Linked DNA regions of Canis lupus familiaris. The protein of the gene in region 2 purifies or fractionates together with the protein of the main gene of each other region. This does not show direct contact. Links are inferred from orthologs where the notes say so. Each region holds a gene or a part of one and is shown on either strand. Other genes may lie near its edges.

Region 1 (4,106 bases), on a different chromosome or scaffold from region 2:
TGGTCTATGCCTCATCCAGGGTCTGTAACATTGAATGTCAGCCATGCCTTCCAGATGTACACCACCAGGTCATTCCTACCTCTAAGGATTCTGGTCTACTGGAAGGCCTGGTGTGTTCTCAGAAAATCCTTTAGCTATTTCCATTAGGGGACTTTTGTGAGGTCTCTGTGAATTGGGGATAGAAGGATAGATACGCACTTGCCTGTCTTGCTCCACCCTCCTAGCAGACATCCCCCCCCCACACACACACACACAAAGCACAAATCCGAATGATGGGAGAGGGGAAATTGACACTCCCCCAACCCCACCCCGTACACACACATTCCATTGCACACCTGTCTTAAACTCACATCAAGATTAGCCAAAAGTATGTCTAGAAGTCCCTGGAGCCTAGAAAGCAGTAGGGGATCCCTGGGTCCGGAATAAGGTCCCTGGTAGCCACTGTCCCTGTACCCAACCAGAGTGGATTGAGGCAAATTACCCGGGCTCTTTTTCCAATCGGATATTAATCACCCTGAGAGTTTAGGAAGGGCCTGGCCCAGCTGGGTCCAGCTGGATCTTCAGCCGTGTCTTCAGATTTAGTGTCGTTTTTTCAGCTTTCCAGTCGCTTCTTTACTGCAGGTGAGTTGGAGAAGAGATTAAATTCACTGGACTCCTCCTGTGCAGATACTCTTGCTGCAAGTAAGGCTCAGATACCTGTAGATGACAGTCTGTGCCTTCCCACAGGCTGCCTCGGGTGCCACAGATGGAGCCCTAGGTGCCTTCCTGCAATACAGGGCAACTTCCTGTTTGTGCCTGTGGGTGGAACTTTATGAGTGTAAGGGAAGCCTGGCCATGCTCTGTGGGGGGCCAGAACTGGCAAGTATGCTCACCTGGGTAGGCACCTACTGCGGGGAGGGGGGAAGGGGCTGGCTCTGCTAGGGCAATTCCGACCAGAGGGTGGGGCGGGGTCTGTTTTAGTGAAACCCGAGCCTTCTTTGTCTGCTTCCTAGGGGTTTTCCTTGTTCCTGGGGAATGAGCTGAGAGCCGACCCGGTTTGGCTCCTTACAGGGTAGGGCAGGTGGCAGTAAAGTCCTATCGTCAACTTGGTTAGGCCGGCCAGGTAGTTTAGCTCCCGGTCACGTGCTGTTCGCCCCTTTCCCCAAGTCGAAAACCAAATCCAGAAAGCTGTGAAGTCGGAGGCCAGAGGGGCAACCTGGCCACCACCGAGCTACTGCTGGGCTGGGTACCGGGTCCGCCGTAGAGGGGGTGCTGGGCAGACCACTCCCCTCCCTGGGTCGGGGGCGCGGCCTCAGCCGCCCCGCCCCGCCCCGTTCCACCAGGCCGGGCCCGGCGGGCGCCGGGAGTCCGGAGCCCGGAGCTGGCTGGGAGCCGGCAGATCTGCGGCGGAGAGGTGCCGGCGCTCGGGCAGGAGCTGGGCGGGAGCGGCAGCGGCAGCGGCAGCGGCGGCGCAGGTGGCCTGGGTGAGTGGTGGGGCCGCGGAGGTGTGGGCACTCCGGCCTCCCGCACATGCCGGGTCGGGAGCGAACTTTCCCGGTCTGGGGAAGCTAGGGGGTGGAGTGAGGAGAGGGTCCCACACTGGGGTCCGGGGGGCCCGCAGGCGAGGAGCCTGAACAGGGAACCGACACGGAAACTCACGCCAGTGGGTGCACACGCGCGCGCGCCGAGACCCACGCACATAGGACACACGTGCACTCAGGAGAGGACGCGCCCAGTGGGTTACCCTTGCAGTCCCTGGAGCGGCGCCACTGGCCCGCACGGAGCCCCAGCTGACAGGGTGCTCTGCTGTCCCGTACTTGGCAGGGGTGGGAGAAGGGGCTGCCCGGTGACCGCCGACGGGGGCGGGCCGGGTGGGACACCTCCGGAGGTTCCTGCTTCCTGGCCGCCCACAGGTGAAGACTAAGACGTAAACAGGCGCCGAGCACGTGATCGCTTCGCAGACGAGTGGGCTGTGCTTCCCTCGCCCCCGCATCAGGGCGAGGACCTCCCTCCCCAACCCTGGGCGAGTCTCCGAGGTCTCCTGTCGGGCCGTATTCCATTCTCCGCCTCAAGAAATGTTAAGCCTTCCCCCTGAAATGGGAGCACAACGCCCCCTGGAGTCCGGGTAGCGCAGGCCTGGAGACTCTTGGGCTCGGTGGGGTTACCTGGGCTCCTTGCCTTCCTTCACCCGAACGAACACGTTCGTGGGGCCCTCATCCCGGAAGGTATCGGAGGAGGGCGCTATTTCGGGTGGCAGTATACGGCAGCTCCGGCCCCATACCTCCAGTCTGGGGAGCAGCTGCCTGAGAGCCGGTGGGTCCCTTTCCTACCACCACCCCTCCTTGCAGAACTGGGAGCTCCTCCCTTCAACTGTAGGAGCCGAAAACCCACTCGTGCGAGAGTGGGAGTCCTCCTTTCCCAGAGAATGCATAAAGGTAAATGTCCTCGAAGTACGGGAGTGGGCCTATCCCCCTCCCCTAGAAGGGAGGATGAGCCCCCTCCCCCAGGGAATGAGGGAGTGGGCAGCGGCCCTCGCCTCCCTCTCTGCCCCACCCTCCACCCCTACACACACGCTGAGCCCAGCTGCTGCCTGAGCTTCCGGGCTGGCTGCCAGAAAGGGGAGGAGGCTCCTGGTGCCCCAAGAGGCTGGGATCAGGGCAAGGCCAGAGGAGGGGGTCTCTACTGGGGAGGGGGGCTCAGTCTATTCTTATGTGGCTCAGGGTCTGGGGTGAGCCTGAGGGTGGTTGGGCTATGCCTCCCTTTCCAGGGAAAAAGAAAGAAAAACAACCCTTTCCATAGAGCTAAAAATAGAGCTGAGAGCTGGCCAGGGCTGTGGCCTGGAAGGGGGGGATGCTCCTTCCTGGGGCAGAGGAGCTCTGGCAGGCCTTGGCCTTGGGGGTGGGGATGCAAGTAGGGGGTGGGAGGCCTGTCCTTGGCTGGGGGTGTGGGCATCAGCTGACCTGACCAGAGACCCCTCAGGGGGGAAAAAAGTCTTTGTGGTAAAAAATGCTCGTGAAACACCATGGGTATGTGTAAGTTGTCTGACTGAATGAGACCACCAATGTGTTAAAGATGTTTAGGAGAGGAAGCCCATTTAAGATTGTGACTCGGTAGGAAGGACTCTGAGTCCTTGTGAAAGATTGTGCACAAGGTGTGTGACACCCAGTGTGTCTGTGTGTAAGTTGGCCTGAAAGATTATGGAAGGAAGGAACCTGGAATCACGTGATGGAGGAGACTGTGATTGTGGCTGCGTGGGACCGAATGTGGGAAAAGTCGTGTGGGTGTTAGGAAGATTGTGTTGTTTGCGAGAGGGTGAGACTCTCTGTGACCCTGAGAAGACCGAGGGATGTTGTCAGCTGTGGGACTGGTGTAGGTTCTGACTGTAGGTTTGGACCGCCTCACCCCAGTGATTGTCAGGGGGCCAGGGGCTGCCTCTCTCCCAGCAGTGACCTCTCTTAGCAAATGATTCTCAGGGAAGGTTGGGGAGCAGACGGCCGCGCGCGAGGCAGGCCTGGGCTCGCGGGGGGCAGGCTACAGTGCTGGGCAGTCCGGTAGGGGCCCCCAAAGTTGCTGGGGTGGCGGTGTATCCTGCGAACGCGCCGCCTGGTGGCGCCGCCTCCGCAAATCCGAATCTGCCTCCCTCCACCGCTGGGGGTGGGGCAGGCACGGCCCGAGCCCGGGTCCGCGACCCGGCCCTGGGGAGCAGGGGCCCGGCGGCCGGGGCGGGTGGGGGGGCCGGCCCTCCGCGCCCCGCTCGGGACTCCGAAGCCGGAGTGTGTCTTGCGGGGGAGGCTTCGACCGGAGGAGCGGAGGGGGAAGGGCGGCCGCCGTGGCGCCGGGCCCTTTGTGCTGGAACAATGACCAGCTGCCGCTGGCCCCGGGGCCCGGGTAGGGGTGGAGGGTGACCCGCCGCCGCCGCCGAGTCCCCGAGCCCACCGGGCGTGGGGGGTCCCGAGGCCCGCGGCGCGGCCCCGCGTGACGCGGGGTGCTGCGCGTGTCCGCGCCGGGGCGGGGACGCCCCTCGGACCCCTCCCCCGCGCTGCGCCGCCCACTCGGGCCGGACGGGGGCCGGTCGGGCCGGGGGCGCCGCGGAGGCGGGGCCGGGCCGGGCCGGGCCGGGCGCCTCC
Region 2 (3,500 bases):
TGGTCCATGATACTCTTAATGGGTTTTTTAAATGAAATGATTTGTGGCCTACCTGCCTGGCTTGTTCTTGCTTTTAGAGTGAGAGCAGTGGTATCTTGAAAATGTTTCCATTTGTCACTAAAAGTAAAAATCCATTCTGAATAAATAAGGGATTTTAAGGGTTATACTATCATCTGTTTAAAAATGAATTTTCTGAAAGTCTCAACACATATTATATCTCCATATTCTAAAGGGAGGCATAATTTGTTTTCAGTTTATCTAAATATGAGTGTCAGGGGGCACCTCCCTGACTTAGAGGAGCACTCGACTCTTGATCTTGGGATTGTGATTTTAAGCCCCACATTGGATGTAGAGATTACTTAAGTACATAAAATTTTAAAAAATGAGTGGGCAGGGTTAAATCAGTGGATCTTAACTTGGAGCCTACTTGGAGTGATTACCACCATCTCGGAGAGCCACCATGATGAAAGAAAGTGCACCCATGGTCGCTGGTGCATCAGGCAGAAAAGCGGCTCAGAACCATTTGGCCAGAGCCAGTAGTCAGCACATCTCCTTTATAAAGAACTAGATAATAAAAGGTTTAGGCTTTGTAGGCTTCCATTGCATCTTACTTGGTTTTGTTTGTTTTTATAACCTCCAAAAGTATAAAAACCATTTATGGCTGAGGCTGTACAAAACACCCCTAAGCCAAGCCATTGTTTGCTGAGGCCTGGGCAGCATCTTTAAAGTCATTTTTGGTCTCAAAATTATTTTGAATTTCTCTAACTACAAGTGCGCTTGCAGTAGTAATATGTGAAAATACAGAGGATCTAATTAGAAAGCGGTCTCTTAAATAAGGGTCTCTATATAATAGATTTGAGCATATTTAAAGTTTATGTTGGCCTTTACATATTCCATCAAATTTAGAGAAGCCTTTTATCTTTCTTCTCTTTAGGAGTATAAACCACCAGGAACCCGTAAACTTCATAATATTCTCGGAGTAGAAACAGGAGGACCTGGTGGGCGTCGTGCTGGGGAATCGGGTCATACTGTAGCTGACTACTTGAAGTTCAAAGACCTCATTTTAAGGATGCTTGATTATGACCCCAAAACTCGAATTCAACCTTACTATGCCCTGCAGCACAGTTTTTTCAAGAAAACAGCTGACGAAGGCACCAATACAAGTAATAGTGTGTCCACCAGCCCCGCGATGGAGCAGTCACAGTCCTCGGGCACCACCTCGAGTACATCTTCAAGCTCAGGTCAGTTCTGCTAACTCTACGTTCGGCTTGGAAGTCTCGACTGTTTTCTTTACGAAGGGGGGCGGGGCGGTTATTGTAAAGTCTTTTAAAAATTCGTTGATCGGGATAGGGAGGAATTACTTTTCCTAAATCTACTCTCTGTAGTTAGTAAAAAAATTCACTGCCCCAAAGCTCCAATACTTAACTATGAATAATAAATTGTGCTGGGCAGTGGGAACCAAAACTCTTGATTAACCCAAAATTTTAATTGCTTTGTAAATAGAAATACTTTGTTCATATGCTTGAATTTTCCCCTAATTCAACCAAAACCAAACGATCATGTATCAGCTCAGTGGCTGATGTGAAAGAACTTAGAGGATGGGATAATTTTCTGATACACTTTCAGGTTAATAGAGCTTTTTGTGTGTGATGTACTTTCAGTTTTAGTGTTCCAGTCCTAGAATCTATACTTGAGCATAATTAACTTCAAACTTACAAGTTGTACTGTGTTATGATCCTGAAGGTGGATCGTCGGGGACGAGCAACAGCGGGAGAGCCAGGTCGGATCCAACGCACCAACATCGGCACAGCGGCGGGCACTTCACAGCTGCCGTCCAGGCCATGGACTGTGAGACCCACAGCCCCCAGGTGAGCTTGCTCGCCACTCCTCTGTTATCCGTCCCCTGCCGTGGCCAGGCAGCACAGTGGTGGGTGGTTGTGCCATTTCCCCCAGAGGCTCATGGAAGCTTCCTCACAGGGAATTCTCACCTGTTTGTGACTAAAGAAACATATCTGTGCAATTTTCTACTTCGTTATTTAGAAATAGCTAACATTTCTTGGGTGTGTCCCAGCCACTGTTCCAGTTGTTTTTCCCCAGCAGCATTTTGAGCCTTACACTGTTCGAGTTTTCCTTTTATATTGGGAACTGCACTTGATGGGTTAAATCACTTTTCCTGGCTTGTGATCTTGATTACTGTGCTCTGGCTGCTTCCATGATCTTTTATCACTAATGGTCCTTGATTCAGAGTCAGTATGTGGCTTGAGTTTAACCTCCATGTTGGTTTGGTTTGGTTTGGGTTTGGGATTTTTATTTTTGTTGTTGTTGTCTTTTTGTTTTTGAGGGTTTTTTGTTTGTTCCTTTGTTTTCTAAATTTGTTAAAGAAGAGGCTGTAATTGAGTAATGTTTGTTTTTTTTTTAAATGGGGTGAAACAGATGGTGGTCGTAAAAATATTTATTAAATACTCTGTTAAGTAATAAGTGAGTTGATACTAGGTATTACATTATGGTGTTTTATAATGAGAGGCCAGTCAGTGTATTACTTGATGAGTGAGGTAAAACCGAGGTTGCTGACTGTCATCCCCCATTCTTGTGGCTGGGGCTCCTGAATGCTGCAGGAGAAAACCACTCTTGGTACCATTGTTAATTAGTATTCCCCTGCGCCCTCCCAGCAGGCTTCCCATTCCTCATCACCTCTTGTCTTTCTCGTTCTCTTTAATCTTTGTTTCAGTTGCTGCTTCTACTCTTTGGAGAAACCATTGACCTCCTCTTTGCCCTTGCTCCTTGCTGCATGAGGAGAGTCTTCAGTCAGAAGCACCTCATCCAGCCTATGTGTGTGCTTGTTCACCTCTCTGAGCTTCTCTCTCCTCAGAAGCAGTCTTCCTTCCTGGCTGAGGCCAGCCCCCCCTCCCCCCCTTGACCTCCTGTTTGCTCCTCCTACTTGCTCAGCCTCTGGCTCCTACAGCTTACAGCTTCTCTTCTTCTGCTTGATTTTTCTTCCTTTCAGCATGTGGTCCTCCCCAAGTCTCTCCCATCTGGAGCCGAACCTTTCCCTGGCCTATATCTGGCCCTACATTCTGCTAGTCGGTTGGGGCAGGGTCGTGGGAGCTCTGTTCTACCCCCGAGGAACTCTTTGGTCTGCTCCAGCTGGGCTGCCTACGAGCCCAGGATGCCATTCCTGCAGCGTCAGCTGTGATCGCTGCTGAGGAGGCCAATGGGCATCCAGACGCTTGCCTTTTTTTATTCCTCCCCCACATTTACCGTGTTAGCTCCTCCTTGCCCTCTGAAGTGCTCTCCTCCTTTTTGCCTTGACAGGGTATCTCCTGACATTCCCCCACTTCTCTGGCCTTTCCTTCTTGTCTCTTCTGCATTCTCTTCTGCCCACCCTTACTGATGACTGCGGTACCATCTTTTTCTTTTCTTAAACTTCATTCATTATTCATTCCAAAGAGTGCACACACATGTGTGCTGAGCAAGGGATGGGCAGAGCGATGGGGAGAGGG
Region 3 (4,300 bases), on a different chromosome or scaffold from region 2:
AGATGCTGTCCCTGTATATCTTATTCCAAATCAAAAGTATTCCTTCGTTATCTAAATGATCTCTAAAATAGTATTATGTGTATAGTACCCACTTATTATACTGATTAAGGCAATTTTTACAAGCCTTGTTTACTACTTCATCTGACACTTCTGTGAAGTTCTACCCCCAGGAATAATTGATAAGTCCATTAATGTCTTTTTTTTTACATCAATTTCATCAGGTGAGTTTTATAAATATCCAAATTAACACTAATTGAAGTCATTTAGGCTAGTGTCTTCCCCAAACAATTATATTAAAAATAATTGACAGAATTTCTGCCTCCTAATAGAAGAGATGTATGTAAAGACTCCTATATAAAGTAATGCTTTTCTATGAGAGACAATTTGGAGAAGGAGCTAATATTTAAGCTTATGTGGTTTATGAGATTGGCTATTCCACAGTAAAACTTTAAAGAAAAAAAACTGCAGAAAACAGTTGCTTATCTTTCCTCTCAACTTTTTCCTATGCCTAGTAATATCATGATTCCTTCAACAATTTTCCAACTTACTCTTCCTTTACAAGTACAATTACTTAGCATAGTTTTAAAAAACCACATAAACAGTATCTGTCCTATTTTTATTTTCTCCCTAATTCTTCCCATTTTCAGCCCTATCCCCAATCCGTCGATCTTTATCATCATAGCTAAAATGGCTTTTTTCTCCCACTGCTCCAGATCCTTTCTTGAGTGGATTCTTTTACTATAAATTACAACCAAAATTCTCACGTAGTCATATTGTAGTCATAGTCCCCAAATCTAATGGACAAAGGTAGTGGGGGGTGAGGGTGGGGACGACAAAATTGACTTTCAAGCCCTTGAAAATCCTGAAGTGCCTTACCACTAAGAGTACTTTAAGGAAAAAAGAGTAAACCTGATGGGTGGTACATCGAGGAAAAGAGTAAACCTGATGGGTACATCGAGGAAAGGAAAAGAGTAAACCTGATGGGTACATGGAGGAATAGGCTACATATTTCTTTTCTTCTCCATGTTTTTATACAAGTTGAAATTGTCATTAAATAGTGGTTATAGGCTAACAATGAAACTAGTTTATCATTTGAGAAGACTTCTGGGGCCAGAGAAGGCAAATGTATCATTAGTTAAGACAAAATTACAAGAATATGAAACAGAAATTAAACAACTTGAGTGATCTGCTTATCCATTTAAGAAGGTACAGATAACTTCTAATCCCACATTAGGCCTCAAAAAAATAATCTTAAAAGAGACTTCACCAGTAACATGAATTTCGATGGCAAGAAATAGCTCTGGAAGCATTGATACAACTTACAAACATAAATTTCCTGAGAGAGAATCCCACATTATATTAGTTCAAATACCAAGAGCGACTATATGTGAAGAGCTGTATGTAAAGAAGAAGCCAACTGGGAGAAATTTCTATTTCATCCTGTGAAAGAAAAATTAAGGAAATACGGAAGTGGTAATCTATTTAGAATATTTATCATTTGACATCACAGGCCTATTAAGGGTAATATGAAGTGATTTCTAAAATCGATTTGCCTTGTAACTTCAAAATAAAGAAAGCCCATAACTCAATGACAGCAGTTGGTAGAGGTCAACTCTTCTATTCAAACCAAAGATCCTATGGTGAGTGGAAAGTCTCCCAGACCTGGTCCATCAGGAAGGGACAAAAGATTCAGTTTCTTGAGATGGCGGGGGGGGGGGGGGGGGGCGGCGGATGACTTGGCACTGCATCACACTTCAAATCCAATAGGGTTTCTCCCATGCCAACAGAGCACTGTGCGTCAAAGCATACCCTGGTGTCGTAAGCACAGTGAAATGGATGTAAAAACCCTGCTCGGTCTTTCATTTTCCAAACGCCTTATCAACATGCACAACAAAACATTCCTGATCCCCATCACAGGTCACGGGGGAAACCCCCAGATTGGCCGTTGCCACCCCTTCCCCCCACCCCCAGAGGTGCTTGCCCCTCAGCACTGGGCCTTGGAGTTCTCTTCCCAGATCATTGTCCAAGGGGGGTGTAGGGGGGGTGGAATCCACTGAGCAAGAAACGCACAACGTGGGCTAGGACGTCTGTTGCCAAAACAGAAATGGATTAAAAATACCGATCCTATAGTCCCTCCACCCTCTCCCAGAGCACAAAAACAAAACCAAACAGCCCCTCCGCCAATTTGCCCCACCATTACGAAGGTGGCACAACCTCTGATCAGATGTGCTTCCCAATCATCCTTTGGGCGAGGGAGCACCTGGGGCGAGTCTCCGCCGCCCCCCCTCCCACCCCTCTCCTCGTCTCTCACTCGGGTCGGGGCCAGGCCCCTGCACTGACAGGAGGGGCTGGCCGGACGACGGACCGGCGGGGGAAGGAGACATTATCGCCGAACCGCGCTCACACCGCGGGGGGAAGCAACGCAGGACCTGAGCTAACACGGCTCGGGCTGCGGCCGAGGCCTCGGAGCCGACGAGCAGGCAGGCAGGACCCGGCAGCAGGGGAGGCGGGAGAAGCAGCCGGGCCTAGGCCGCACCAGGCCGCGGAGTGGCCATACGCGGCTTCCCGGCCGAGGCTGCGAGCCAAGCCTCAGCGAGCGACGTTATCATTACCTGGACGGGTTCCTGCAGCACCGTCATCCTTGAGGCTCAGGCCCACTTTCTGCAGTGCCTCAGGCCCCCCCCGTAGCGGCTCCGGCCCGGCCAGCCCCGGCTCATTTAAACTCACCAGCGACCGTTACCGGGGGATGGGGGAGGCCGAGCGATTGCCGAGTACCTCCGAGCGGGACACGGAAATGCCCGAAGTGGAGAGATCGGCGCGGGAGCCAGACGGAAAAGCCCGAAGGAGGCCGGAAATGCCCGAGGCCGATCGGCGGAGGAGGGGACCGTTGCCGGAAATTACCGAGAATGCCCGGATATTACCGACTCCGATCCAGAGCGCAGTTTTCTCCTCTCGGCCACGCCTTCACTCACGCACGCCACGCCCAGTCGGCCCCCCGAGGTTGGGCCACGCCCAATCGGCGACCCTGGGCGTGGCTTGCTGAAGCGGGCCGGGTGCGTTACGTGCCCCGACTACGGTCTCCGCTCGCCGCTCCCGCTCTCCGGATCAATTGGTGTGTGGTAGATTAAGCAGGAGGGTAAAGCACGAGAGTTTGGGGCTGACTTTAATCAAGAAGTGTTTTTTTGAGTTTAGTTCGTTCCTCATTCCAGAAGTACCTATATAGCACGGCTCAAAGAGAAATAGGAAATTTGGAAGGATTGCCGCCCGTCAAAGACTTGGTTTGGACCAGGGCTGTCCACACCGAAGACGTCACTACGATGTTACGTGATGCCCGTGATGAGTGACGTCAAAATTAAGAGGAGAGGGAACTAAATTGGGATTAAGATGAGGAAAGTTTCAGGGAAGGGAAAAGGGAGACAAACTGGATTCTGAAGGATGGGTAGAATTAGAAGAAAAGACTGGTAAGGGAAGGGACGCAGAAGTGAGATCAGTCCGGTTAGAGTTAAGGCATTAGCTGGAAATAATTACTTAGGTGACCAGATGATGGAAAATCTCAGAAGGCTGACAGAATTTTTTTTTCCTGATAAGGAAAAATTTCCTGATAATTTTTTTTTTCCTGTGGCATATTGGGAAATCCAGAGGCTTGATTCTAAATTTTACCTCTGGCACTAAGTTTTAAGTACCGAGGCAAGTCACATCTCTGAACATCTATTTCCTTAGTCTGAAAAAAAAAATGACTAAAAGAATTAAATGCATGGATGTATGTTGGTGTGTCTAACACACATAAGAGGCTCTCTCAGATTTCCTTCCCATTCCCCTTACCCACCCCCACCCCGCCGAAATGTGTGAGCCAGGGAACTATTACAATTTTGGGGTTTTTTGGTAGATGATGAAAACACGTTTAGAAAGTTAATTGTCCAATCAAGACATCTCAGTTGCTAGGTGAGGAACTCATGGTATATCCTGTTATGTAGGAATTTCCCTTTCTGGGTCTCTCGTTTTATGCAGATGAAATCAGGTTAAAATGGATTACTTCCCTTAGGTGATGTTGAACGAAGGGTTGGCTTGTTTTGTTTTGCTTTGTTTTGCTTTGTTTTGTTTTGCTTTTGTTTTGTTTTTGTTTTGTTTTGCTTTTTTTTTTTTTTAATACTAGCTAAGAGAGCTATATCTTTCACCACCAGCCATCTCTATTAACTGCTTCTGTATTCTGGGCCCTGTAAAGGGTAAGTGCCAAGGTGATTTTCTGCCCTGTGCCTTATTTTTTTTTTTTTAGCAAGATTATGAGTCTTCTAAATTGTCC

Evidence for each region. Proteins that work in one complex are often made in the same cells at the same time.
Region 1: the proteins of DYRK1A (region 2) and LZTS2 purify together in Homo sapiens (affinity purification with mass spectrometry; 8 studies listed by BioGRID and IntAct, counting the BioPlex papers as one, with this or other methods). This does not show direct contact. The link is inferred for Canis lupus familiaris from reciprocal best matches to the Homo sapiens genes DYRK1A and LZTS2.
Region 3: the proteins of DYRK1A (region 2) and CDC27 purify together in Homo sapiens (affinity purification with mass spectrometry; 3 studies listed by BioGRID and IntAct, with this or other methods). This does not show direct contact. The link is inferred for Canis lupus familiaris from reciprocal best matches to the Homo sapiens genes DYRK1A and CDC27.

What each region holds. Positions count from the first base shown.
Region 1 is NC_049249.1:13,868,816-13,872,921, forward strand, and holds the start of LZTS2 (leucine zipper putative tumor suppressor 2), read left to right. Parts: upstream 1-1,306; 5' UTR 1,307-1,463; intron 1,464-1,892; exon of another isoform or gene 1,893-2,414; intron 2,415-3,510; coding exon of another isoform or gene 3,511-4,106. Other genes in the region: proline-rich protein HaeIII subfamily 1-like, read right to left, coding at 3,511-4,106. UniProt on the Homo sapiens protein: Negative regulator of katanin-mediated microtubule severing and release from the centrosome. Required for central spindle formation and the completion of cytokinesis.
Region 2 is NC_049252.1:32,322,102-32,325,601, forward strand, and holds part of DYRK1A (dual specificity tyrosine-phosphorylation-regulated kinase 1A), read left to right. Parts: intron 1-934; coding exon 935-1,241; intron 1,242-1,743; coding exon 1,744-1,868; intron 1,869-3,500. UniProt on the Homo sapiens protein: Dual-specificity kinase which possesses both serine/threonine and tyrosine kinase activities. Exhibits a substrate preference for proline at position P+1 and arginine at position P-3.
Region 3 is NC_049230.1:17,584,116-17,588,415, forward strand, and holds the start of CDC27 (cell division cycle protein 27 homolog), read right to left. Parts: upstream 2,801-4,300; 5' UTR 2,640-2,800; coding exon 2,613-2,639; intron 1-2,612. UniProt on the Homo sapiens protein: Component of the anaphase promoting complex/cyclosome (APC/C), a cell cycle-regulated E3 ubiquitin ligase that controls progression through mitosis and the G1 phase of the cell cycle.